Linked DNA regions of Lytechinus pictus. The protein of the gene in region 2 binds, or shares a complex with, the protein of the main gene of each other region. Links are inferred from orthologs where the notes say so. Each region holds a gene or a part of one and is shown on either strand. Other genes may lie near its edges.

Region 1 (7,682 bases), on a different chromosome or scaffold from region 2:
TACTTATGTCACAAAGCACTATCGAGGAATAATGATCACGCCAATATCATTTGGAACAAAACTTAATTTGAACAGTTCTTTGCATTATCACAACATTGATAGTTGATTTTCCATGGATTTAGACTGTGGCAAAGCATGTCTATCGTTCCCAATATATAAATGTGTTGAGAATGATAAATATTAATGAAATTCATTTGTCGTATTGGCAAAGGAAAGTTTTCGCCAATTAATAAGTAAGCTTTAGCTTTGCTTTCTGATTCATCTCAATACGAATTGACTTGGCATTATCTGGTTTATGATTAAATAAAAATGTATTTAGGTTAGAATTTAAATCAATTTGCAAAGCATGTCAATACAGTCTTAGTTTTGACCAATCTTCAATGCAAAAATAGGATCATATTTGTGATCGAAGAAATGTTCCTCGATAAGCTCTTGCTAGTGAATAGAGTTAAAATATAATTTGTTTGTGGCCAGACTACAATGCATCAACTAGTTTTGTGATCAATCGAGATGGTATCTCAATGAGATCTTGCATGGGAACTCCATGACAAACTTTGGTTGCAATCAATTTACAATATATTCCAATCAAGTCTTTTGAGCGAAATTATACTGCATCACAACAAGATATTGGTTGTCAACAATGTAAAGTGTATTTGAGTAAGATTGTTGGTTGTGAGCATTACTGCACAACAAGGTTCTGGTTGTGAACAGTCTAATCATAAGATCTTGGTAATGGATACTTTAAACTACATCTTGATCATGTCTTGGCTGTGATTAGTATACTGCTATTAAAAATATACTGCATGATGCTCGCAGCGAGAATCTCGTTGCGAACAACATGCAGCACACTTTCAATAAGTCAGTTTTGATCGATCATCCTGCATTTTCAAGAAAATGTTATTATTAATCTATAGTAATTTTACAAAAAAGATCTTAGATATGAGCAAAGCATATTTCATCACAACAGGAAGTTGGTTGTGATCGATCTACAATGATCTGTCTCATGACATCATAGATTTATATCAGACCACATCGCCTACAGAGATACTGCATATGGCCAATTATTAGTTCTACTATTTTATGTGGGTTGTAGTTTGGAGGATTCATTTGGCCCCGTATGGGTTTAATATGTCTCAATCTTGGCTTAGGCGATAAGCCACACCGCCCATATAGATACCACATGGAGCCTATATGGTTTTATTTCATGGATTCTAGGTAGAACCCAGCTGGGGCCAATATGGGTGTGATATGTTTCTATCTGGGCTCAGGCGATGAGACACATCGCCCATATAGATACCACATGGGGCCCATATGGTTTTATAATGTGGGTTCGTGGGAGGACCCATATGGGCCCCATATGGGTTTGATATGTCTCTATCTGGGCTCAGGCGATAAACATCATCGCCCCTATAGATGGCGCATGGGGCCCATATGGTTTACTTATTTTTTGGTTTCAGGTAGGACCAATATATTGGGCCCATATGGGTTTGATACGTTTCTTTCTGGGCTCAAGCGATCCCATATACATACAAAGTGGGGCCCATATGGTTTTACTTCGTAGGTTCTAGGTGGGAAGACCCATATAGGCCCCATATGGCTTAGATATGTCTCTATCTGGGATCAGGCGATTTCCATATGGAAACAACATGGGGCCCATATGGTTTTATTATATGGATTCGTGGGAGGACCCATATGGGCCCCAAATGGGTTTTATATTTTTCTATCTGGGCTCAGTCGACCCAGGAATATGCCACTTCGCCCATATAGATACCACATGGGGCCCATATGGTTTTATTATGTGGGTTCTAGGTGGGAAAACCCATATGGGCCCCATATCGGTTTTATATGTTTCTATCTGGGCTCAGTCGATCCATAATTATGCCACTTCGCCCATATAAATACCACATGGGGCCCATATGGTTTTATTATGTGGGTTCTAGGTGGGAAAACCCATATGGGCCCCATATCGGTTTTATATGTTTCTATCTGGGCTCAGTCGATCCATAATTATGCCACTTCGCCCATATAGATACCACATGGGGCCCATATGGTTTTATTATGTGGGTTCTAGGTGGGAAAACCCATATAGGCCCCATATGGGTTTTATATGTTTCTATCTGGGCTCAGTCGATCCATAATTATGCCACTTCGCCCATGTAGATACCACATGGGGCCCATATGGTTTTATTATGTGGGTTCTAGGTGGGAAAACCCATATGGGCCCCATATGGGTTTTATATGTTCCTATATGGGCTCAGGCGATCTATAATTATGCCACTTCGCCCATATAGATACCACATGGGGCCCATATGGTTTTATTATGTGGGTTCTAGGTGGGAAAACCCATATAGGCCCCATATGGGTTTTATATGTTTTTATCTGGGCTCAGTCGATCCATAATTATGCCACTTCGCCCATATAGATACCACATGGGGCCCATATGGTTTTATTATGTGGGTTCTAGGTGGGAAAACCCATATGGGCCCCATATGGGTTTTATATGTTCCTATATGGGCTCAGGCGATCCATAATTATGCCACTTCGCCCATATAGATACCACATGGGGCCCATATGGTTTTATTATTTGGGTTTTAGGTGGGAAAACCCATATAGGCCCCATATGGGTTTTATATGTTTCTATCTGGGCTCAGCTAGTCGATCCATAATTATGCCACTTCGCCCATATAGATACCACATGGGGCCCATATGGTTTTATTATGTGGGTTCTAGGTGGGAAAACCCATATAGGCCCCATTTGGGTTTTATATGTTTCTATCTGGGCTCAGTCGATCCATAATAATGCCACTTCGCCCATATAGATACCACATGGGGCCCATATGGTTTTATTATGTGGGTTCTATGTGGGAAAACACATATGGGCCCCATATGGGTTTTATATGTTCCTATATGGGCTCAGCTAGCGATCCATAATTATGCCACTTCGCCCATATAGATACCACATGGGGCCCATATGGTTTTATTATGTGGGTTCTAGGTGGGAAAACCCATATAGGCCCCATATGGGTTTTATATGTTTCTATATGGGCCCGGTCGACCCTGAAATAAGACCACATCGCCCATATATATAGATACCACATGGGGCCCATATGGTTTTTATTATCTGGGTTCTAGGTGGGACAAACCATATGGGCCACATATGGGTTTTACATGGTACATATGGGCCCCAGTAGGCCCACATGATTCCCATATGGGCCCCAGATACTAGTTGCTATCTGGGATATGTCAATGTTTGTAAACTTCATAGAATGATTGCTTAAAAGAAGAAAGCCCTTGAAACAATAATACTAAAAAACAAATGGCCGAAGCTGCAGGGTAGATTTCTGAATTGTTATGTTCAGTGGCGTACCGTGGGTCACGGCATGGGGGGCACCAGCACTGAAATTATGTCTCACTTAGTGCATGGGCGCGCGTAGCGCGCTCAATTGCCAGGTAGGCCTATACTGACCTGAAAGAGAAATTTTAAAGATTGTGCCATTAAACGGATATGTATCACACTGATCGATTAATGCGAGCGCGAAGCACGAGCTGAAATTTTTATATTCAGACCTAAAGAGGAGACATTATAAGCTATTTTTTTACCATCATGATACATACCTGTGTCACTGAACAAACAATGCGAGCGCACAGCGTGAGCTGATTTTTTGTGTGCATATATTGACCCCAAACAGGGATAGGACGTTTTTTTTAGAAATTCATGAACAGCATACGTATCTCACCACAGCCATCTAATGCGAGCGCCAAGCGCTTGCATATTTTGTTAGAATTACATTTAAAAACATGAAACACTTTTTGTAGTCATTGTATAATCATGAACATGATAAGTATATCATTAATCAAATATTGCGAGCCCGAAGCGCGAGCTGAAAATTTTGTTAAATTCAAACCTGAAGAGGGGCATTCTAATGCTTGCTCGCAGGCATTCACTCAGACCATAAGTATTTCAATATACAATGATGTGAGCGCGAAGCGCGATCAAATTTTCGATATTCAGACTAGAAAAACTGACATTTTTGGAATTGTTTTTTAGAATTCATGAAGAGCTAATATATCTCACCAATCCACTAACGCGAACGTAAGTATGAATTGGAAATGTTTTATATTCAGACCTTAAAAGGGGGTAATCACTTTAGGTAATCATGAAAAAGAAGCATATCATGCCACTACCTAGCTAAAACAATGATAACTGCATGGAACTATATGCCTATTTGGTGTATATTGACTTGAAAGGGGGATGTCTTAGTACACCAAGAATTAAACAGACAATGCAAGCACCAGGAATGATGAACACATAGGCCCTGAGCAAATTATGTTTCATAAAGTTATGAAAATTATTTTATTTATGTAATACCCGGTATAATATAATGTAACATACCGATACTATAATATAATATACAATAATTTTTCATCCCCCACTACGTTTTTCTTTCTTTCTCCCTCTTTTTCTCCTTTTCCACGTTTTTTTTGGCCAGCCGATTGGGGGGGGGGGGGGCACGTGCCCCTCATGCCCCCCCCCGTAGTTACGCCACTGGTTATGTTACTCTCAAAGACTGCAAAAATCTGCAAAAACTCAAGGCCCTATAATATTACATGTATATAAAAGGCCTTGCAAAATAGTGTCCCTGTATAGGGACACTATTGCAAAAGTTGTGCCAGCGCCATCTATCGAAAATTTCGAATAAACTTTGTATTCACAATATCATTCAAGATGTCGTTCAACTTTGGCGGTACGAACACATTTGGCGGGCAAAATAAACCATCTTTCGGTGGATTTGGTTCTACCTCAACTGGGACATCAGGTGAGATATTTTGTATATCATGACTCCATGTAAAATATATCAATAAGACGTCTAACTGTTAGGCCTACCAAGTTTTTTACTGTCATAGACTGCAAGAATTTGACCGGACACAGTCACCCGACCAAAAATGAGGCCCAACATGCCCGACGCCGTAGGGGCAGCTTCTGTGTCGATCCCGCTGTGCATGACGTTGCGTTGGCGGCGCTAACAACAGTAGGATGGGGGAACGGGTGTCCGGACAGTTTATATTTTTTCGGCCTTCTTTTTTGTCTTTGGATTGCACTAAAAATATGAATTCGATAGTTGTAATCATCTTCTATTTTGTTCTCTATAATATTTCCTAACATTTTGTAATAACATTTGATGAAACTTCACTTGTAAATTTTTCCAAATGATTTTCTAAATTGATCGTCCGGACACACAACCTGTCCGGACACACAACAACTGGGTTTACTAACATAACAGTAACAGTTCTGGATCTGGATGGTTGATGTATGATGGTGGGCCCCAAGTCTGCGCACCTAACAATTTGAGTTAAGATTTAACATGAATTTCTTCTTATTTCACAAAATCTTTCGGTTAATAGTGTTCCTTATATTATTAAGAGTAAGTGTACCAAATTTCTCATTAAAAATGAAAGAAAATATAAGATTTTCTTGAAAAAACCTCGGGCAGTCATTTTCAGATTGAAAAAAAAATGGTACCCCATGTCTGCACACTCATTCACTTTGCACACGATTCGGGGATTTTGATGACAAAGGCTGCATTTTGAGGCCGTCACATGAAATGCCCTGAATTAATTATTTTTCCACCATGTTGAGTCAGATTTTTTTATGAATACCTGTCTATGTATTGCATGTGTAAAGTTCGTGCTCGTTGCATATCTTCTTTTACTAGAATCGCGCAGATACGCGGGTGCGCAGACTTGGGAGACCGCGCAGACATGGGGGAACTGACCATATATTAAACGCCTGGTGTGTGTGGCTCACTCACACGTATTGCGAGGTTAGTAATAGTATTAGTATACTAACCTCGCACCATGAACCGCGTTTGGCAGTGGATTTCTAACTAGTCATGCTAGTAGGGACAGTGATTTTCCGTTTCTAAAAATGCCTTTTCCGTTTCAGAAAATCACAAATTCCGTTTCAGCATGTCTGAAAACGGAAATTCCGTTTCCCCATAGACTTTGTGTACATGAAAAAGTGACAATTCCGTTTACATTGAAAACCAATACGCAATGAGTAGCGCGATGTCAAAATGCTAGCGCTGGTCAAAATTTGCATCTACCAATGTACTAACATCGCTTTAAAATCCATTTTAATCGAAGAGATTCGAGCTCAAAAACTATTTAGAGAAACACAATCAACATTAATACATCCTCACCTTTCATATTATTAGCATTATTTTATGGTTTCATGGGATTTTATCGCTGATTTGGGGACTTTTCGGACATCGTATTGAGCAGTCGACGACTTCCGCCTATCCGCCATTTTGGATTTGTTGAATCACCGTGATCATTGTATCATGACCGAACGCAGAGGGCAGCAACACACGGCCGAATTCTGCCTTATATGCGGACGTCAGTGTAAACTAATTTGGATACGATCGAGTGATGGAGGGGCTCGAGTGCAGTATTGTTACGATTTGTTGATTGTCATGATTGTTGTTGCAAAGTGAGATCGTGTTTTTTTCAGTTGATATTCGTATTTTGTTGAGGATTTGGGATTCATTTCTGTTGATATTTTGTGCATTTTGAGAAAAAACAAGTTTTCTGTGATTTTCCGTTTGAAAAGCCGCTTTCCGTTTCAAAAGGCCGATTCCGTGAATTCCGTTCGTTTTCCGCGATCGCGGAAAATCACTGTCCCTAGTACTGTAGTACTACTACATGTACTAGTATACCCAGTTGTTGTGTGTCCGGACAGGTTGTGTGTCCGGACGATCAATTTTAGAAAGTCATTTGGAAAAATTTACAAGCGAAGTTTCGTAATTTTTTAGTACAAAATTTTAGGAAATATTATAAAGAACAAAATAGAAGTATTGAATTCATATTTTTAGTGTAATACAAAGACAAAAAAGAAGGCTTCAAAAATATAAAGTGTCCGGACACCCGACCCCCCATCCTACTGTAGTAGTGGGTCGCGCGGGCGCTAATGCAGTTTCGCACCGGTCGATTACCACTACCACCATACCTCACCACCAGTAACTGTTCACAAATGTCCTAGCAAGTCTCTCAGTCACATTTCGAGGTCCAAATATCGCGATCAGGAACGGCTGCATTTTGGCTTCGCTCTTGACATCGTCGTGCGAATCCTCAGTCATGGCTCATGCATCGCTTCGCTTGGTTTCGCCGTGCTCCACACGCAGGGTTGTAATAAAAAACGTTTTTTATTCAAAAAAACGAAAAAAACGTTTTTTATTGTTTTAAAACGTTTTAAATCGTTTTAAAACGTTTTTTTTTTCCAACGAACGATGAAATTTTCTGTAAATCAATTAAACTATACACCTAATACAGTACAGTTTAAGCTCTTGATGTTTTAAATACATTTTTGGAGTAAGTAAGATATAACTACAATTTTTTTTACTGAATTTCCAATAGAAAAGTTCATATTTTCCCCCAAATTACTCTAAATCATTGATATTGAATGCAAAAAAGTAAGTTGACATTTTATAAGTTCATTCCTCATACATATACATACATACTTTTGAGTCTTGTCAATCTATAGGGGTGAGAAGAATTTGCACAATGTATTAATGAAATAATCTATAGACTATGGGCTTTCAAAGCTTAATTTCATTTAATCAATATGCTTCATTTCATTTTAATTAATTATAGTATTATACAGATTTTAGTGTACAAAATAAAGT
Region 2 (7,303 bases):
TGGGTGAGTAATACATTCAAGCCTGTAGGCTAAGTTGCATTCAGTTTACAAGGGAACAAAATACAATGTATAAATTGATCAAGATATAACATTTCTAAATGTCCAATCAGCCAACATATTCAGGATAATGTTAGCATAGATTACAGCATTGCATAATAATAAATCATGATAAAGAGAGAACGAGAAAGTGAATATGAAAAAGAAAAAAAATGTTTCTTGTACTAGTACAAAAGCTGTGTCCTTTTTTATTTTCAAACTGCAGGTCAAGCTACTAGCAAGTCTCCTAAGCGTCCTAGGAAAGCTGCAGAGTATGCAGCAACTTACCAGCATGTTCTGCCTTCAGCCCGTGTCCTTGCACGTGAGAAACACATGCAAGCAATACAGCAAGAACGTAATGCTGCACTGGCTATTCTTGATGCATCTGGTGAAGACAAAGTGACTATACACTATGATACTACAACACGGCGTAGGATTTCTGGAGAGTGGACATCCATAATTGTCCGACTAGCAAGTGGGAAACTCTTCAGAATGCGACCTTTGTCTATGGCTCTTGAAAATCGAGAAAATATCACAAGGTTAATGGTTGAAGTTATCAAGCGTCTCTCTCTTGCTACGTGCAACCAAGCCTCACAAGAGGATCTGTGGAAGAAGGTTTTTGCATTTATGACTGACTCAGTTGCCAAAAACCTACACATTGAGTCTCAAATAGCAGCATCTCTTAACAGTCAGCACATACCTCTACACTTGTTGTGTGTGAGCCACACATGTGAGGTATTTGATGCAGGCAATATCTCTACCCTTGTTCAGCATGAAGTCAAGTTAGGGCTTCGTGAAAAGCTAATTGCACACATGCCGACCCTGAAATCCTTCCTCAAGAAGAGTGTAATCATAGCAGCAATACAGGCACTGACAAAACTAGTAAGTAATGATGGACACAAGTCGTCCATGTGGGAGATCTTCGAGTGTGAGGTTGCATCTGCAGGCAAAACAAAGAAGCACAGCCTCTTTAAAGAACGCCGATTTGCTCAGATGGGATACACTGCTGCGGCCATTCTATATCACATCCCAGAGTATGAGGCAACATTGCAGAACACCAAATCCAACAACCTACTTGTTCAAGCCTGCCATCTGTACCTTGAGTGTGACTTCATCATGCTAGCATTGAAGGTATTGGCCTGGTTCACATACTGCATAACCCTCCCATTCCTTAATATGGTAGAAGTCAGCTCTCAGAATGATCTAGTGACCATCCTCCCACGTCTTCATGATGATCTGCTGAATAACAAGACAGATACGCTGTCTTCATACAAGGTACCATACTCTTTCCAAGTGGAAAAACCAGAGACAACTGTAGGCATGTATCTTCTGCAGCAAATGTGTCAGCAAGCTGCCAAAGATTTAGCCACTCAGAGAGGACGTGAGTATGGATTTCAGCAAACAGCAGAAACGGGTTTGGCAGAACCTAGAGCAACTGAACTCCACAAACTCACACCAGAAGATCTCACCAATCTACCTACAAACAATTTGCAGTGTGAGCGGGATCTGTCAAAGTTTGACAAACTCGCAAAACGGTCTGCAGCTGCTTCCAATAGAAACTTCACCGGCAAGGGTATTCGAGATGATATGACTTTGAACAAGGCTGGTGTAGTAACTGTGGAAAAAGTGACCCATAACATTGCAAAAGTGTTGGATAAGAGTGAACAGAAATGGGTGGAAGAGCAACATCCTCTCTCAGGAAAAGCTTCAGCGAAATGTGGCCCAAGCACAACAAGCAGTAGAGTATGTGCATAGGCTGTTACAGAAATGTAAAACATGGGGAGGTCCTTTAACAAATGTTGATGAGCTTCAGGAATGCCTGGATACCCAAGATCCCACCAAGCTTAAAACTATGTTACGTGCAGAGCTGTCATATCGCAGACACATCTCCCATCGAGATTACTTGGTGCGCCCACACTTGTATAAGGTCAACCAACTATGTGAAACACAAATGAAGGTGAACTTGACTCTTCTATTGACTGGAGGAGAGTCTGATAATCTCCCTGCCCCTGATCTTCCAACTGAAGATGACATGGTGAATGCATTCAATCTAAAGCCATCCAGTGGGATCACACAGCCAACTGCCCATTCCAACCTTGAAGAAAATACCGATAAAGAAGTGGGCATCAATGAGTTCTGTATTGTGATATGGGATTACAAAGATAAACGAAACTGGTACCTTGGTATGTGTCGAGACCAAAATAAAGACGGATATGAAATCGAGCACATGGAAAGAGTGAAAGGAAAAGATCAGCATGAGCAATGGAGATGGCCAAAGAAAGATGATGTACATACAGTACTGCCGATGCAGATCCTTCCATGTAATGTAATTGGCTCATGGGATACAACTTCCAGCAGAAACATGACATTTGTGCTTGACAATTGGCATATTGTAGAAGGCTTATTCAAGTCATTTTACAATTAAATATGTACACCCACAGTGGACCTGTATGTACTCTCTGACTAGAGGTCTAATGACCAAAATCTTATTAATTGGTACTTTTAAGCAGATACAGTATTACTATTGGCTCCACAGTTACCATGCCTGTCGACTCGAAATTCACCAGCCACATACAGGTTTTCTGCTTGACACATACATGTATGTAAGTTATTTGTATACTTCTTGCTGTATTGTTTAAAATACAAAAAAAAAAACACCTTTAATAGCTAGAATTCATTATTAAGAATATCATAGCTAGCATGACTTGAAGAAAATACAGAAAAAAGTACAATTGCTGTTGGGGTAGGGGTGAAGGAGAATGAAAATTTAACATTAAATATGGGGAAAAGGTGAGTATAATGTAGAAGATTAGGTTTAACACCAAAAATATCATTATATTCAATTTCTTTGACCCCTAAAACATGGGGTTAGACACCAAAATTATTACAATAGACAAAAAAATGACCGAGTAACAGCCAAAATTGTCTCTTTTTAGCCAAAACGGCGGCCATCTTGGATTTTTTACGTTTTCGGTCAGGGCACCCCGGATTTCACATTTTTTTAATTTTTTTTTTCAAAAATGGTGTCAGCAGGCACAAACTCATCAAACTAGGGTGTGATGAGCATGTTCTGAAAATGTGACCTAATATTGACCCTCTATAGCCCACCTCTAATAGCATTAGTGATCTCGACATTCAAATGCTCATAACTCTTTTATTGCTAGTCCTATTTTACTCAAAGTTTTGTTGATCTTATTCTTTGATTTTTCTGCTTTCACAAAAGCTAACTTGCTCCAAGAGTTTCATTCTCCTTTAACCGATCATGCTCATCCCTGCAAAATCTTGTGAATTGTGAGACTTTCTTTCTCCAGGAATTTCAAGGCCAAATAATTATTATAATCACGTATTAAATTTTAGTATTAGTGGATCTATAATAAATTGTTCTTCAAAACGGCATTTTGTAACATCGCTAATCAAAGGTACGTCATACATGTCATAACGATGCGGTTCGATCAAGTGACAATTAAGGGTCAGACCTATTGTATTTGCTTTGTTGACAAACGGATCGAGGGATCTACACGAGATCGGTCTGACGTCTGGTAAGAAATCTTCAATTTTTAACCTTTTTATTAACCAATTTTTGAAACCTTCATACGCATTAGGCGTATGAAGGTGTAAAACTAAAATTTGCCAATAAGGCAATAATTTAAAATTTTAAAGAAAATCACGGCAGCCAAAATCACAAAGTGACAAACATTTATTTAGCCTAGGCCTACGTGATTTTTATCTTAGATGGATTTCCTAGGCCTTAGGGAAATCCATCATTGTTTTGATGAGTCTCTTATACATATATGGCAGGCGGTTCATCAAGGCTCCATGATGAAGTATATGTCAAAATATTAATAAATATCATCATGGAGATCAAGGCTAGTCCACGCCGCGCCTCCTGTATAGGCTGTACACCCAACAGCAGGAACTATGAATGGGACCTACATGTCGGTTTACGCAGCGTGGCCGCTTGCGACTGTCACTGACAGTGACACTGCACTGGGCAAGCCAACCAATGTTAGCTTTTGTTACGTACCTAAAATTGACTCCGAAAATATATCTCGCATGAAACTTCTACCATTGTAGACCTGTTTAATAGGCTTCCTTGTAGACGGTTTCTCAACATTTTCTGGAGAGCTCTCTTTTGTGGAACTGACTTTTTGTTTGGCTGATTCTGAACTTTCGTTGCTCCGGATTGACGCCATTTTGAACAGCTCCCTCTTCGCTCGCGAGCTGAGCGAGCGCGAGGCGCGGGTATTATGTGTGTATAACAGCGCAATACAGCATACCAGATTCAGACGGAAATGAGGCTAGATTAAACTGGATATTTTGACTTCAAGTTCTGTTCTGGTAAGGTTATTTCTGTATATTATGTATTAAAGCGAGATAACGCAGGCGTAACGTTTGGTACCGTACCGGTATATAAATTTCAGAATATAAACTTCCAATCAAATTAATATGAGTTTGTTGTCGCCTGTCGTCGAGTTTTTTTAATGTTGCCGAGTTCATGATCCATGTGATGAGGCCGATGTGCTAAGCGTAGGACTAGGTATGATGGTGGGCCCTTAGTCTGCGCACCTAACAATTTGAGTTAAGATTTAACATGAATTTCTTCTTATTTCACAAAATCTTTTGGATAATAATGTTCCTTATATTATTGAGAGTAAGTATACCAAATTTCTCATTAAAAAATAAAAGAAAATATAGGATTTTCTTGAAAAAACCTTGGGCAGTCATTTTCAGATTGAAAAAAAAAATGGTACCGGTACCCCATGTCTGCGCACTCATTCACTTTGCACACGATTCAGAGATTTTGATGAGAAAGGCTGTATTTTGAGGCCGTCACATGAAATGCCCTGAATTCATTATTTTTTCACCATTTTGAGTCGGATTTTTTTATGAATACCTGTCTATGTATTGCATGTGTAAAGTTCGTGCTCGTTGCGTATCTTCTTTTACTAGAATCGCGCAGATACGCGGGTGCGCAGACTTGGGAGACCGCACAGACATGGGGGAACTGACCATACATGTAGATATGTAGGCCTACATAGTACAGGTCTAACACAGTTGAGTTAGGTCGACTGTGAGTGTGAATGTGATGAGAAGTGATTGTGATTGACGACTTAGCTGAGCTGAGCTACATGTAGCAGACTGCAGAGATCTGTTATTATACTACTAGGGTGAGTGACTGGGCTGTTTAACTTAAGTTAGATCTTATTCTTGGTTTAGATTCTGACTTCAATTCAAATCCAGTAATGCAGTACCGTAAGTAACGGTGTATTAACCGCACCTTTTTCTCGGCGGGACAGAATCAAAAGTCGGGGGTGCGGTTTATACACGGTGACAGGTCTGAGCCAAGCCAATCTCAGCCCGATACCACTACCAGTTTTCAACTCGCGTCGGGTGGCCGAGCGTAGCCGCTTGGGGCAATCCCGTTTAGAGGGGTATGAGCCGCGGGTATAAAAGGGAAGCAACTATGACTACCGGTATCTGCCGTAAATGTCCCTCAAAGTTATATCACGGTAACAAACGCACCTACCTTCATGAAACTGACTTTTTTTAATGGTGTGACTCTGTCTTTGTTGTCATTTTTTAGTCATCGCGGCAAAGTTCAGACGCCAATCGATCGCACAGCGCGGTGCAGCTAGCCGAATAAGACATGCATGTGTAATGTTTATCGCAACGTCAACGTAAGCTGGCGCTTTACCTTTCCGTGGAAGTTATTTTGTTTGACAAATTATTGGTATTATTTGACAATTAATTTCTTTCATTTGCCTTTCCTTCATTTCTCTCTATCATCCATCATCTCAAAATCAATCTTCAATCCCCATCTTTACTCCTTCCGACTTTTTATTTTTAATTATCATTCACTTTATTCCTGCCCAGAGCTCCCATTGAAAATACGGTATACCGGTAGCCTACTAGCATTTTTTCCCCCTATTTTGCTGTCTGTAAGATACCGCCACACACGTACTGAGAACTACCGGTAGTGGTTCAAAGCAGACAAGAAAAACACCTGAACAAAATCGCAAATTTCATGTATCTTGAACCTTCCCGTATTCCCTTGTCTAAAATTCATGTCAAGACATTGAATGCTAGACAGAATTCTGAAAGCAAAAGTGGGGCTGTGATGCAGGAAATATGATATGAACGATCTTCTCGTATGGGTCCTACATGTCGGTTTACGCAGCGTGGCCGCTTGCGACTGTCACTGACAGTGACACTGGGCAAGCCAACCAATGTTAGCTTTTGTTACATACCTAAAATTGACTCCGAAAATATATCTTGCATGAAACTTCTACCATTGTAGACCTGTTTAATAGGCTTCCTTGTAGACGGTTTCTCAACATTTTCTGGAGAGCTCTCTTTTGTGGAACTGACTTTTTGTTTGGCTGATTCTGAACTTTCGTTGCTCCGGATTGACGCCATTTTGAACAGCTCCCTCTTCGCTCGCGAGCTGAGCGAGGCGCGGGTATTATGTGTGTATAACAGCGCAATACAGCATACCAGATTCAGACGGAAATGAGGCTAGATTAAACTGGATATTTTGACTTCAAGTTCTGTTCTGGTAAGGTTATTTCTGTATATTATGTATTAAAGCGAGATAACGCAGGCGTAACGTTTGGTACCGTACCGGTATATAAATTTCAGAATATAAACTTCCAATCAAATTAATATGAGTTTGTTGTCGCCTGTCGTCGAGTTTTTTTAATGTTGCCGAGTTCATGATCCATGTGATGAGGCCGATGTGCTAAGAATTCTGAAAGCAAAAGTGGGGCTGTGATGCAGGAAATATGATATGAACGAGCGGCGGCGGCGGCGTCAACATAAAATCTTAACCTAAGGTTAAGTTTTTGAAATGACATCATAACTTAGAAAGTATATGGACCTAGTTCATGAAACTTGGACATAAGGTTAATCAAGTATTAATGAACATCCTGCCCGAGTTTCAGGTCACATGACCAAGGTCATTTAGGGTCAATGAACTTAGACCATGTTGGGAAAATTATTTTCAAAATCTTAACCGAAGGTTAAGTTTTTGAAATGACATAACTTAGAAAGTATATGGACCTAGTTCATGAAACTTGGGCATAAGGATAATCAAGTATTAGTGAAAATCCTGGTCGAGTTTCAGGTCACGTGACCAAGGTCAAAGGTCATTTAGGGTCAATGAACTTTGGTCAAGTTGGGGGTATTTGTTGAATTACCATCATAACTTTGAAAATTTATGGATTTAGTTCATGAAACTTAGACATTAGGTTAATCAAGTACCACTGAA
Region 3 (7,401 bases), on a different chromosome or scaffold from region 2:
TGAAGAGCATACATATATCTCACCATATTCATCGAATGCAAACGCCAAGCACTTGCTGATTTAGTTAGAATTACACCTTAACACATCATTAGTGAAGCTCTTTTTGTAGTCAATGTGAAGGCATGATATACGTATCTCACTAATCATAATGTGAGCGCGAAGCGCAGCCTGATTTTTTTTTTAATTTAGACCTAAAGTAGTAAAGAGGATTGTTTGTAAGAATTCACTAAGACCATACATATTTCATTTTAATAATGCGAACGTGAAGCGCAAGCTTAACATTTTGGACATTCAGGCCAGAAAGGGGGGAATTTAAAGAACTGTTTTTTAAGAATTCATGAAGAGCATATCTCGCCAATCCATGCACTAATGCAAACATGCATAAGCACGACTAGAAATGTTTTATATTCAGACCTCAAAAGGGGGCGAGGCATGAGAAAGAAGTATATATGTCACTACATAAAAAAAAATAACTTAATAGGCCTATTTGACTTGAAACGTGATGTTTTAACAAAAGGATCAATAAACAGACAATGCGAGCAATGCGAGAACAAATTATGTTTTGTGACGTTATTATAGGCGTAGCTGGGCTCTATAATACAATAACATAATGATCCAATATACAGGGGCGGATCCAGCCTTCGCCAATAGGGGGGCCCGGAATTTTTTTTTCAGCCATATTTTCCCCGATCGGCCGCTCGAAGATGATTTTTGCCGGGATTTTTGGTTTCTTTGAAGGGGTAGTCCTAATAGTCACTTCTTAGCTTTATTCTTATGAATAAACATAAATATATAATACCATAATCCTTATTCACATAATGCGAGCGCAAAGCGCGAGCTAAATTTTTTTGGAAATCTTATGTATTTTTTCTAAAATTTTGAACATATTTGATTCTGGGCAATGTATGTTATCATGAAAAAGATGTGTATGCAAATTAATAATTACTACGAACGTGAAGCGCAAGCAAAAACGAACTGATGGAAAAAGTACTGTTAAAGACTGCTTGCAGTTAGCCATGAAGACATTACATATTTTAAAAATCAAATAATGCGAGCGTGAAGCGCGAGCTGAAATTTTTTGACAGTTTTACCTAAGGAATGGAAATTCTAAGCACTTTTTGTTAAAATAGAATAGGTATATAACTAAACAATTGATACGAGCGCGAATGGCAAGCTGAAAAATTCGAGATTTAGACCTACTGAACGAGACACTCTATTCAGGTGTTGTAAATCGTGAAAAGGATGAGTAAGTGGGGATCTTCCTTACATTAATAATGCGAGCGCAAAGCGCCAGCAGAACATTTTTATATACGTTTTGAACTGATCGAAAATGTACCTGTTAAGGACTGCTTGCACTTAGTCATGAAGACATTACATATTTCAACATTCAAATAATGCGAGCGCGAAGCGCGAGCTGAAAAATTTTGACATTTCTACGTAAAGAATGTAAAATTTTAATCAATTTTTGTAATCGTGAACAAGATAGGTATATAACGAAACAATTGATGCGAGCGCGAAGCGCGAGCGGACAAAATCGAGATTTAGACCTAAAAACGGGACACTCTATTCATGTTTTGTAAATCATGAAAAGAATGAGTAATAGGGGGCCTTCCTACATTATAATAATGCGAGCACAAAGCGTGAGCAGAAAGTTTTTTATATTGTGATCTGAAACTGGATAATGATTTAAAGGTCAAGTCCACCCCAGAAAAATTTTGATTCGAATCAATAGAGAAAAATCTAACAAGCATAATGCTGATTTCATCAAAATCGGATGTAAAATAAGAAAGTTGTGACATTGAAAGTTTCGCGTATTTTTCTCAAAACAGTTATATGCACAACTCAGTGATATGCAAATGAGAGAGTATATGATGTCCATCACTCACTATTTCTTTTGCTATTTATTGCTTGAATTATACAATATTTGAAATTTTACAGAATTGACAATAATGTAGAACTTGACTGAACCACATAATGTTAAACAATGTTAATTCAACATGTTCAGGAAGGAATAAAACTCGATTTCACATGACAAGGGGGAGAAAATCAAAATATTTCATATAGTAGAATACAAAAGAAATAGTGAGTGGCGACGTCATCAGTCCCCTCATTTGCATACCAACCAGGATTGCATATAACTGTTTTGTGAAACTTATTAAGCGAAACTTTAAAAGGCCATAACTTTCTTATTTTACCTCCGATTTTGACGAAATTTTCAATGTTATGTTTGTTGGATTTTTCTCTTTTTATTCCAATCCACTTTTTGTTGGGGTGGACTTTTCCTTTAAATAGAGAACAAGTTGACTATCTGAATAAACATGCGCGCGCATGTTTCATATTTAGACCTAGAATCTAGGCATTCTAAATACATTTTTTATTATGAAAATCAAAGCGAGCGCGAAGCGCGAGTTTAAACTATTTGATATTCCGATCTGAAAAAAAGAGTCAATTTCAGCTCTATATTTAAAGCACTTTGTAGGAAAATTGTGAGGTGGATATGGATCGCACTTAATAAAGAGCTGATATTTTTAATAATTATTACTTTGAGTTTTAACATAGGACCGGGACATCCTTAGGATATGCAAATGAAAATGATGACTATCTTCCTATTCCTCTTGTTAAGTGCGAGATGAAACAAAGGGGACAATTTAATTATTAAATGAATATCTCATTCATTAATGCCTAATGAGGGCGCGAAATCTGATGATATTATGGCCTGAAAACTGGACATTTCAAGAACTTTTGTAATTATAAATATAGGATGCATCAAGTTAATATATTTTAACCATTAATGCGAGCGCAAATCGCGAACCAAAATTTTTGATGAACTGTCATGAAAAGGGGATTTTAAGTTGTTTGTTGTATAATCAATATTGAGAAATATATAACTCGCCAATCAAAATCTAGCTGATATGTTTTGACAATACACCTGAAAAGTGATATTTTGACAACTTTATGGAATACACGAAAATAATAGGTACCTGCTAAATCAAAATTTGCGAGCGCGCAGCACGATCAGAAAATGTTAATATTCAGACTATAAAACTGACATTTTTATAAAGCACTTTTTAGAAACAATTTGTAAATCACACAAAATAATGAAAGTTCGATTTCCGAGGTGAAGTATGTTTTGTATATTCACTTCCAAACTTGCGAGCGCGAAGTGCGAGCGAAAATTTTATACAGTGACATATGAAAGATTCTTTTTATTTTCCAAGTCTTCTCCTCATCATATTTTATTCACTCATCTTCCTCCTCTTCTTTTTTCTCCTCTCTTTTCCCCCCTTTTCTCCCTTTTTTCGTTCTTTCCCTTTTTTTTGCTCCGCGCCAATAGGGGGGGGGGGGGCGGGCCCCTCGGCCCCCCCTGGATCCGCCTATGATCTACAAATTAATTTCTTCTTCCCCCGCTACGTTTCTCTTTAATTCTTTCTCCCCTTTTCTCCTTTTCCCTTTTTGCCAGCCGTCCCCCGTATACGCCTTCTATTGTAAGGTGAGTAAAAACAAAAAAAAAACGGTAGTTATGTGCGAACAGCTTTTGTCTAGAGTCTAGACAAAAGCTGTTCGCACATGACTACCGTTTTTTTTTTTTTTGAAATAGGTCTACCGTCTAGACTCTAGACTAGACGGTAGACCTATTTTCAAAAAATAATGATATGTCACGGCTCCAGTGCAAAATAAATTGAAGTGGTCAATTCGTACTTTATATTATGTACAGTTATTTTTATGTAATAATACTATACTTCTCAGAGAAGGTAGTGATGGTTTATAAGACTTCACAAATAAAAAGTTAAACTGAACATTAAACTTAATAACTTTTATAATTTTTGATGGATTTCCCACAAAACCTCCACCTAACGTTAGATCTTTTTAAAATTATTTTACAACGAACGCTGAGGTAACTTCCGTGGAGCGTTTCATGAAAGGACTTGTCTTATCCGACAAGTATACCCAGTTGTTGTGTGTCCGGACAGGTTGTGTGTCCGGACGATCAGTTTTAGAAAGTCATTTGGAAAAATTTACAAGCAAAGTTTCATAAAATGTTTAGTACGAAATGTTAGGTAATATTATAGAGAACAAAACAGAAGATGATTACAACTATTGAATTCGTATTTTTAGTGTAATCCAAAGACAAAAAAGAAGGCTTCAAAAATATTAAGTGTCCGGACACCCCACCCCCCCATCCTTTTATCCGACAGTTACTATGGTAACAGTGCCTCTCATCCTATCATTATGAAGGAAAGTTGTCAGACCTGACAACTTGTCGGATGAAAATATTGATGAAACGCTCCCCAGATCATAGAGTTAAATAGAAGCTTCCGATCCCTTTTTAATTCAGCATGCACGGCCGGAGCGTGGCGAGCGCACGACGCGTGGTACCGGTACGTTCAGTTCAAACGAGTTGGACGAATTTCTAGTAAAATGGCAACACTCGCGGCGGGAAAGAAAAATGTGCGAAAAAAAGAATCAGCTGTTCGTCCTCCAGACCGTATTTCCGGTTCTTTTGTTGAGCCAGGTGATACCACAATGGCAGATATTTGGAAGGTTCGTTTCATCAATGTGGAACATTTGATTTACATGAATTTCTTGATATCTATTAAGTTTTGGGTAGGCCTACCCGACAGTCATTGCGTTGCCCCACCTACTCATTTTTATGTGTGTTGACTGTTGTTACTTGCGAATTGCGGCCAGTGGCCTAACTTAGTAACTAACGACGTTAGATTCTAACGACAACGTTACGTAAGTTAGGCCCTATGGCCTATTGCCCACTCGCACTAGTACGACTACGAGGCTAGTATGTATGCTCTACTAATCTCGTATACCGAACTGCGTTTGGCCCTGGATTAATTAAGTAGGCCTAGACGGTCGACGGCAAGTCATCGCTTCATTGCAGAAAGTATGCATGATTGACGTTTATCTTGTCGGTAAATCCTATAAAAAAGAGACAGAAAAAGAAACTATAGACTATAGTCTAGTCTCTAGACGACTAGAGGGGTCTATCGTAAACTACGTCTACATTTAAATATTGATTATTGAATATAGTATAGTGCCCAAAAATGTTGGACACTTCTTAAGCATAATTGGACCAAAACAAAAAGGCAATCATTGATGACGTTTATCAGTAGAGGTGCACAGCCAAGCCCAAGCAATATTGGAGACTATCTCCAATGTGGGAGAGTATCTCCAATATCAGAGACTTTTGTAAAGAATTTTGGTATCCAATTTTAGAGACAGTCTCCAGTTTTGGAGACCAATTTCCTTTGTTTACATTTGCTGCAAAAGGATTACCTTGGCGGCAAATAAAAATGTGATAAGCAGATTCCTCATGAGAAATTACCCCTTTTCACCGTCTACTTAAAAAATTCACCGTCTACTTTTGTCTTGATAAGGATTTTTGTTGTCAATCACACACAAAACAATTGGGCTTCTGACCTCAGTGAGACAAAATTTTGGGTGGAAAAAATCATGCTTTTGTTGGTGTTGTTTCTTTTGTCCTTTTGCAAAGCAAGTCTCCAATGGCAATGTGGGAGATTGTCTCCCCTATTGGAGAGAGTCTCCCATATTGGCTGTGCGCCTCTACTGTTTATTTCCGTAGAGGGCGTATTATCCGGCCTCCCCTTATCCAGATCTATTTTTGGACGCACACTTGCCAAGATTTTTTTTTTCAATTCAATCTAGTACGTTAGCTTAGGAAATGAGATTTCAATCTAAACTCAATCCTATAAAGTATAGTAGGCCTATACACAGACTCACTTGGATTACATATATTTTCCAATATAGTCTACCTACATACCGGTACAACAACATTAAGTCACTATTTTTCATGAAAATCACAGAAAGAACTTGGGCAGGATAATTTTATCACGTTCTCTTTTTTTGTTTTTCCCGGGAAAAACAACGCATGTCTCGCTAGCTAACACTAGGCCTTGATACGGACAGCGCCATCTATCATGTTTGAGCCTACAGTCATAACAATGGCTGACATTGCGAAGCTGCGATAGCCGCGATGATCTAATTGTAAAACTTTCATTGAGTCATTTTCTTTATTTCGAGGTATGCTCGATGTATACCTCACTCATTTTAGCAGGTAAACTATCGAACAATTTTGGCCATCGATCGATTTCATTTCCGTAAAAATACCGCCTATAATTTGCACTGACACTGCAGTGAATACTGTCTGTATGCCCACTACAATAGATAACATGTAGCTACAGCCATTAATGTTGGGGAGGTAGCAGCTGCGTGTATTTAATATTTATTGGGTCTCCCAGATCTGGATAAATCCCTTATCTGGATTGGTGCTGGTCCCAACGTGTCCGGATAAGAGAGGTCGGACTGTATTAAATTGTTTTAGAATAAAAAAAAATTATGGTAAATGGAAATTAGTTTCAAAATATCGGACGCGTAGAGTTGTGCACCCTGATCAATTTCGGGGCTTTAAATCGCGCTCTAGACCCCAAAATAATTGCTTAGTTGTTAAGTCCAATATCGAAACAAAGTGTAGCAAGAGAACATGGTTATTGGAAATCACTGTCATCCGACCATTCCAAGGTAACAAAGTTGGACATCCTGTATGGATTTTCTGATTTCTTTTTCTTCTCTTTGCCTTTCTTTCCCACAGGAATGAATGCTCCAGGGTGCCGTAACTTCCAAATGATTCCTTGGAAGTTGTCTTTGTCTTCTTGCTTTTCTTCGCTTTCTGTCTATTTCTCTGTGAGTAGTAGCAGGAAGGTGATAACTGAGATGATGCCAGGCGCTTGGTGGTAGTTGGGTTTGGCGACGGTGACGATGCTTGAGTGCGGGAAATACGATGATCCGGTTACTCCCCCGCTCCACCATCCCGAAGATCCATATTTTCAATCCTCTCGGATCGCAGCGGTGATACTTGGTATGCCATCCAAAATGGCTCTCGTCAATCTCCACCTCTCCTCGGAGTACTTCTGTCCCTCACAAATTTCCGGCATTGGTCACGGAGGAAGTTTGCCCAATCCACCGCCGATTTGTTGTAGTCCATTCCCGACTCTACTGCACATCTGTGAAGGAGGTTCCAAGCTTCCATTCCCTCAGAAAGATGAATATTTCCTTGACATCAAAATGGACTCCTTTGAAGAATGAATGCTTATGAACAGAAAAGTTCCGCTCGTGTTGCCATGTCACACTTCCCCAACACCGCCATATCTTTCCTTCCTTTTAGCACAGTTGACAAGTTTACAAGGTCTTGTGCAAATATCACAGTAGATTTGACTGACTTGCAATCAATCTCTTATCTTGAAATCACTTGTAAAGAAAATTGTTGCTCTGGGAGAGTAAAAGATGGAATGAAAAGGGATTCCTTAAATGCTGAATATCCAGTAGAGCTGGATCCTTTTTCCTCATAGACCAAGCCATCGTTGCCTTTTCTTC
Region 4 (7,234 bases), on a different chromosome or scaffold from region 2:
ACTAAATATTTATGACACCTCCGAACCTGTCTTAACTTCTTTCTTAATGACGTAGTGGCATCACGTGGGTAGACTATGACATGCGAAAGTGCCTAGAAATTTTAAAATTATAATCTTACATAATCAATCATAGAGGTTGAAATTACATCACAAAACAAGTGGGTTAATGCATTCAATGATAATTGTAAAACAAAGAAACTATAAAAACTGTTGGTAAACGCCACAAAACCATTAATTTTGAAATAGCAAAATGATTTAATCGATAAAGATTTTACCACGTCAGGCCATCCATAACTGAACTCGTATTTGTTGTTTTCAGACCCCTCTTAACAGTTGGATGAATTCTATCTCTAATTTATGCATATAATTTGTCCAATATCGTATCTTTCGGTATCAATGATTAAAAATGATTCGTTAAACTATATTTTGATGACGTTTGGAATCGTTAAAGTCCGTATAATTATCATCATTTTACAAAGAAAACCGTTATGGTTTACTTTCGTAAACAATTAAAATTGGGTCTCCCGGGGGTACCCATCTCAACGTCCACAAGTGATTTTTTAGTCATGAAATGAATTATTCATAATCTAATTTTCTCTGCAATTGAATGCTCCAGTCTTCATGGTCTAAGTATGTATGATGCATAATTCACCTGTGCTATTATTTTGAAAAGATTTATTTCCCAATTCATCATAATATTTGCAATTTTGTAATAATTTTCTATTTGAAAATTATGCTATTTTGTGACTAAGGCTACGTCTCGTCTGCTCTTTTTACCGATATTATCGATATCAAGGTATTCTAGTTAGGAAGCCTTTCGAGAAACAGGTTTAGTAAGATTGGTACTAACTCCGTGGTTGGTGGATAAAGATATGACTAACTTGTCCATGTGTTGAGAAACGGGCCCCTGGTTTCCAAATCTTTATAAAAATCATACCATCAGAAAGAGCATAAAAAATCCTATTCGACTCTTTATGGACAAGTTTTTGGCATTAATAATAAATTTATAACAGCTCTCGGAAGCTAAAAATTTGGATTTGTGTGTGTCCATTTCTTAACTACACAGTCTATGGCAGAGAAATGCTGAAAATTGACCTAATTTCATTCTTCTTTTTTGCAGCCAATAATCGGATTTTTTTCAAAAATGTTACATTTCTGTCAGTCTGAAGGTCATTTCTCTTCAAATTCACAAAGAAAATGTGATATTTTCTTGAAATAAGAAAAATAATATTTTTCTCCAGACACCCTAATAGAAGATGATTACAACTATCGAATTCATATTTTTAGTGCAATCCAAAGACAAAAAAGAAGGCCTCAAAATATAAAGTGTCCGGACACCCGACCCCCCATCCTACCACTCTAGGCGACACCCCAATACTTACCCGTGCTAATAAACTGGGACTCCACTCACGCGCGTTTGGGCCTCCCTAGCTTAGAACTAAGCACTAATATCACCTTAAAAACTAAATCTACAAGGTATGTATAATCTATTTACAACTTTAATAATGTTTAATCGGTACTCACCGGTTCTTTTGTTGCATTTTCAGACCATTTCTCACAATTCTTCGTAAATATTTGCGGCAAATTTTGTCGCCATAGACAGCTTAGCATCCATCTTTATTGATAAATGGAGCGCCCTTTACGATAGTTGTTAATGCCGCGGAGAAATCGTTAGGCATTTTGGCCTGTGTTCAAGGCGTTCTTTCTGTTTTATTTTTTATATTGAAGATTGTGCATTTGTTGAATAGCGCCGTCTACGTCAGGTATGAGATCGAGTGTACAAATACACTCTTCCAAAATAATTATGATTCCGACCTGGCGCTGTTTAACTTCAATCTCTTTCACCTAAATTAGGGATGAATGCTAGCATTATAAAATATATATTATTAACGTCTGACGAAAAGAATAACCAACCGATCAGCTGACGAGAACGCGAATCACGTGATCTTCATATCAGCTTCGATCGCGAGTCAGAAGAGAAGAGCAGCTGCCCAGAAAATCAGGAAAAAGCCGTGAAAATGTAAGTTCCCCTTCATTTCTTTCATTTTTTGTTGTTGCTAACGATGCATTTACACTATAAAATTATAATTTAAATAAGAGAAAGGAATATAGCTTGTACTTGTGATATAATGTATAAATATCCTGTTCTCAGAGATTTCTAACCAAAAATACTACTGATGTCGCCTATGAGGTCCATACATGTAATGTTGGACCTCATTGGTACTAGGAGTGCATCCTACAGGGGACTCAATGGCCATATGTGGCATATGTTTATGTGTATTAAGTTTGGATAAAACAGGGCAGTGAAGTTGCGCGACAGCCGAGGTAAGTCACTGTTTTTGTTCCTTTTAACTTGATTTTCCTCGTTTTTTTGGCAATCGATGCCAAGAGGGAATATTAATTTGCATTTCGGTCGCGTTAATTTTCAAAAGTTTGATTCATTAAACTTTTTAAGACAAAAAATAAAGAGCCCCGACGGGGGGATTTTGCATTGTAAGTCCCGGCCCTAATCTGCTAATGGTGGCTGCACGATAGCGAGCAGTCTGTGTATGAGGAGAAATTAAAAAAATAAAAAATGTTAAAAAACTCCTCGAAACAGACGGCTGCCAGCTGTCTAGGTCTGAACATGCTGAAGCAGTGAAGGGAAGCTCCACCGCGCCGCTCCCGCTGGTTGGCATATCAGATCAGTTTCAGAGCCAGAGTTCGACTTCGAGACAGGTCCTACTCAGACAGTCCCACATGTTAATTTATTTGTAACGGTTATGAAGATAAAACCCAACAAACAAATTCCATCACGGATTTTGACTGAAAATCTCGAAATAAAACATTTTCAGTTGACCTAAGATATAAAGCGAACAAACAAATAATTACTGATTACCACAAAAATAGATAACGTACCATAATAACGTTAAAAATACGTACCAAAAATGGAATTTCCCGCTCGTACGCCGCCATTTTGTTCCTTTAAAATCGCTGAACGCGAACGTCGATCGCCGGCTATCGATTACTAGTCTGCAGGCACAGACCCTGATTGAAATTTTGATCAACAAGTATGTCTCCACGCAAAGACTAGCACATACAAAACTTGCTGTTTCAGTAAACGAGGCATAAATAGGCTGCAATTCAGACCCTTAACTCTAGTGAAGGGTTTGCACAGCAGACTAATCGATTACTGGATGGCGCTGGTCGGCGCGGGGTGGCCGAAGGTTCGGGGGGGGGGGGGTTCTTCTTTTTCTTTTTATTTGGCAACCATGAATTTGACTATTTTCGCCATCATAAATATTGCATTATTCACGTTGTTTTCTTTGAAAAAAAAAATTATATAAAGTAAAATTCAAATATTTTTTTTTTCTTTCTTTTTCTCTTCTTTTTCTTTTCTATTTATTTTTTTTAATTATTTTTTTATTTTTAGGGTATCGAGGATATAAAGTCGAGTAGGTGTGTCTCAAAAAATTAAAACCAGGGCTTTTACTCAAAATATGTTAGATGTATAGGCCTACTAGTATGCAAGTGAACCTAGGATGGAGATGACAGAGAAAGGAAATGAGGAAAATCACATATCCAATCCTACACCCGTACCGGAGTATGGGGATACGTCTGTCCCGTTGATGTGAACATCAACGTCTGTGAAGTCTCGATCTTTCCCGGAGACAAGACGCCTTTAAATCCTACCTACTTTGGGAGACGAGCCCTTGTAGGATGGAAAGTGATTTTGGGTGAGTTTGGGGGGGGGGGGGGAATTGAATACATGTATTTATATATATTATATATATATATATACACACATATATATACTATATATCAATCCATATATACATTAACTGAATGCATTCGTGTTGAGGGTTCGATTAGCCTCTTGTCGAGGCCCTGGCGGCTGCTTCCCGAGCGAAGCGAGGGATATCCTAATTCGCTCGGGAAGCAGCCGCCAGGGCCTCGACAAGAGGCTAGGGTTCGATCCGTTCGACCCCGGGAATGTCGAGCCTCGATCGAGAGATTGATTTTTTTTCTTCAATTAAACCACCTCAAGCACAGATGGTTGCTCGAACCCTGTGTCTCAGCAACTCGTCGTTTTGTCATAATAGCCACCTTTCGCAAACCTCAGGGACGGTAAGATTAGGGTCCCCTAATCGTACATTCGATTTTCACGAGTAATTGTACATTATAATCAATGGAATCAATCATATAAAACTGTTCTACATTCATTGCTAAGCTTTGTGATACAGGCCCTATATAGATCTGCTTTTCGTGTGCAAACTCTTTCACGCGACACCCGTTTTCATGCATGTGTACGTCTGGTCATCATCGTATATGCCCCCTGAGCCGGCGGCGAACCTCTACTAGCTATGACAGCTGGCTGGAGATATTCGAAATGCAGGGCCCGGGGCAGGGCCCACAATAGATTATGACTTGGATAAAAAAGTGTTTTTTCAAACAAATCGAGTACATATTGAGTGAGGAAAAACTTACTGAATTAAGGCTTAGATAATATAGATCATTACAGTCCATCGAATCGATATTGTATTTAATGTGGATTATTGGTGGATCACTGGCAATTGATTCCATGGGTCAGATGACCTCTCCAGCTGAAACCATTTCGCATGATTTGATATCTACATAGCATATATACCTCTGAATACCAGCCGAAATTGCGGGTTTTTTCTTTTGTTTACTCCCCTACACAAACAATATGCCTCTAGCACACAATGCAATGTAATTATGTTTTACTTTCCCCAGAAATGGGGGATTAGATTCAAATGGGGACCACTTCCATTGATGAATGGATACCAGGCACGACCATGCGGTTTCGAAAAGCAACCTAAACAAGGATCGAAGCAAGGTTTTTCCAGATTATGAAAATGCATCTCTTAAGTATTTGGCTTGTGAAACCCTACAAGTATTGGAAATATATCACTTTTTTAAACATTGACACCCTTATAACGTTACAAAGGCCTATATACTAGTACGTAACGTACTTGCCCACTCTGTCCCCTTTTACGCGTGGTTGCGCCTGGTATCCACTCGGCAATGGAAGTGGGCCCCCCAGGCGGCCTCTCGAGCTCTGGGAGGAGCCAAATGTGGCTCTGGAAAGTCGTCCTAAATCGGATATATCGCTGTTACCATAGAAGCAACCATAATTTTGCACACGAAACGCATATTGAATGTTTCCGTTGCAGATGCGAAACGTAAAAAAATCTCATGTCACACAATTTGCATTGCAGGACAGAGTTTTACGACCATGACGACGGGCCTAAAAGTCTCTTCCAAAATCAACTACCGTCATAAATAAGCGTTCGCGTTCTCCAACGAAAGGTCGGGATTATCTAAATTCTCCCCATTCTCATATCTAGTTCAACGGTATCATAGACAAATACAAATCAAATATACATCACATATAGGCCTGCATAAGCAAATACAAATACAAATCAAGTACAAATCAATTACAGAATAATTACAACACATTAATTTGTAGAATATAAACGTGGAAATGAGGGAATAAAGAAAACACTACTTAATTGTATAGATCACAAGGGCGGAAATCTCTCCTCAGGGGTGGGGGGTGGGGCACAACCGAGTTTTCCATTGTTCTTACATTCACACACACACACACACACACCCCTACACACACACACACACACACACACACATATATATATATATATATATATATACATGTTGTACATGTATAACTTTACATATATATATATATATATATATATATATATAGTATAGTAATAGGGTGGAGCGAGTTGCTTAGATTTTAGTTGTACAGACTGTTTCCCCCCGAGGGTTCATCAGCTGGTGAACCCTCGGGGGGAAACAGTCTATACAACTAAAATCTAAGCAACTCGCTCCACCCTATTACTATACTACATGAAGCTTCTATATGTACATCACATGTGGTTGAGCACTTTTCAGTAACTGCAGTTTCGTATACAGTCATTATATATAATATATATATATATATATATATATATATATATATATATATATATAAAGCTTAAACCTATTTGCTCACACATTTTTGTTGGTTATCCTACTCTGAAATGACATTTGTGTCTTTGGAACCCCGGGCTTTGGAAGTACTAGATGATTGCGGCCTCCAAACCCAATTTATAAATAGACGCCTTATATCAGTACTCCATGCGACTGCAAAAGATAAGTCGAGAAACGCATAGCCAAAAACGGTCCTCACAAAAAGTGATAGCATAACGCGACTTACGACCCGTGCCTCTTATTGATAATGTCATGTAAAGCACTTTTTTTTTTGGGGGGTGGGCTTTATTTTGACACATCCCTGATGCTGATACACACCCATCATCATCGTCATCACCATCATCACCATCATCACCATCATCACCATCATCATCACCATCATCATCATCACCATCACCATCATCACCATCATCATCACCATCATTATCATCACCATCATCATAATCATGTTCATCGTCACCATCATCATCATCATTATCACCATTATCATCATCATCATCATCACCACCACCATTATCATCATTATCATCATCATCATCATCATCATCGTCATCATCATCATCATCTTTTCACCCTCCCTATTCTTCTTCTTCTTCCGTGAAAAAGCTAAGCAACGCTAACCGGATGTAATTACCATTATTATGTACCATTCAGTTAAGTGTTAACCGGCGTTAATATAGGTTTACAATCAACTGTTAGCGATTTCTATGTTTATGGTAGCAATTCAAGCAGTTATTAAACTCTTGCGGTGCGATTCATTATCTCCATTCATGTTCAGTTTCATATCGGCAACAGAAGAATGTACTAGCATGATAAGGACACTGTGCAGTCTGGTATGAAGTAATCTGTCTTTAAAAAACATTGTCTTGTATCGGAAGCTATTGGAAACCAAAAATCGATTTCCATTATCGTTATAACATGAATTGCAATTACTTAAAAATAACCTTAATGATAGTGTATATTTGTTAGAAGAGGAATTTGCACTAAAATTCATCATTAATCAAAAGTACTAAAGCCCACTATTGCATATTGAGACATTATATTTGAACAAACTGTTCAGTTTTCTTGTTCAAAGTTAAAATAGTAGATTTCCCTGCCACTTCTTTACACACATCATTACTTGTCCTGTTTATAATTATATGGGAAATTGCAGAGTAGCGGACATGACATTTTGTATTTCAAAGCATTACACTTCAGAAGTTTTCGCTCTTCTCGCTGGATTTATCAGACAAATTTTACA

Evidence for each region.
Region 1: nuclear pore complex protein Nup98-Nup96-like (region 2) and nuclear pore complex protein Nup54-like share a complex: the UniProt entries of both Drosophila melanogaster proteins name them as parts of the nuclear pore complex. The link is inferred for Lytechinus pictus from reciprocal best matches to the Drosophila melanogaster genes Nup98-96 and Nup54.
Region 3: nuclear pore complex protein Nup98-Nup96-like (region 2) and nuclear pore complex protein Nup107-like share a complex: the UniProt entries of both Drosophila melanogaster proteins name them as parts of the nuclear pore complex. The link is inferred for Lytechinus pictus from reciprocal best matches to the Drosophila melanogaster genes Nup98-96 and Nup107.
Region 4: nuclear pore complex protein Nup98-Nup96-like (region 2) and nuclear pore complex protein Nup85-like share a complex: the UniProt entries of both Drosophila melanogaster proteins name them as parts of the nuclear pore complex. The link is inferred for Lytechinus pictus from reciprocal best matches to the Drosophila melanogaster genes Nup98-96 and Nup75.

Annotation. Positions count from the first base shown.
Region 1 is NW_026974140.1:2,132,987-2,140,668, reverse strand, and holds the start of nuclear pore complex protein Nup54-like, read left to right. Parts: upstream 1-4,658; 5' UTR 4,659-4,726; coding exon 4,727-4,817; intron 4,818-7,682. UniProt on the Drosophila melanogaster protein: Component of the nuclear pore complex (NPC), a complex required for the trafficking across the nuclear envelope. Essential for the nuclear import of nuclear localization signal (NLS)-containing proteins in an importin alpha/importin beta-dependent manner.
Region 2 is NC_087249.1:39,827,351-39,834,653, reverse strand, and holds the start of nuclear pore complex protein Nup98-Nup96-like, read left to right. Parts: upstream 1-4,289; 5' UTR 4,290-4,374; intron 4,375-4,536; exon of another isoform or gene 4,537-4,687; intron 4,688-6,503; exon of another isoform or gene 6,504-6,592; intron 6,593-7,303. UniProt on the Drosophila melanogaster protein: Part of the nuclear pore complex (NPC). Required for MAD import as part of the Nup107-160 complex and required for nuclear export of Moe probably via its association with Rae1. Plays a role in nuclear mRNA export.
Region 3 is NC_087256.1:7,089,869-7,097,269, forward strand, and holds the start of nuclear pore complex protein Nup107-like, read left to right. Parts: upstream 1-4,399; 5' UTR 4,400-4,419; coding exon 4,420-4,542; intron 4,543-4,562; exon of another isoform or gene 4,563-4,575; coding exon of another isoform or gene 4,576-4,605; intron 4,606-4,755; exon of another isoform or gene 4,756-4,894; intron 4,895-7,401. UniProt on the Drosophila melanogaster protein: Plays a role in nuclear pore complex (NPC) assembly and maintenance. Required for nuclear import of Mad. Mediates the association between the nuclear pore complex and a subset of active chromatin regions adjacent to lamin-associated domains.
Region 4 is NC_087254.1:31,799,137-31,806,370, forward strand, and holds the start of nuclear pore complex protein Nup85-like, read right to left. Parts: upstream 3,015-7,234; 5' UTR 2,956-3,014; coding exon 2,923-2,955; intron 1-2,922. UniProt on the Drosophila melanogaster protein: Component of the nuclear pore complex (NPC) that seems to be required for NPC assembly and maintenance. Required for nuclear import of phosphorylated Mad via importin msk.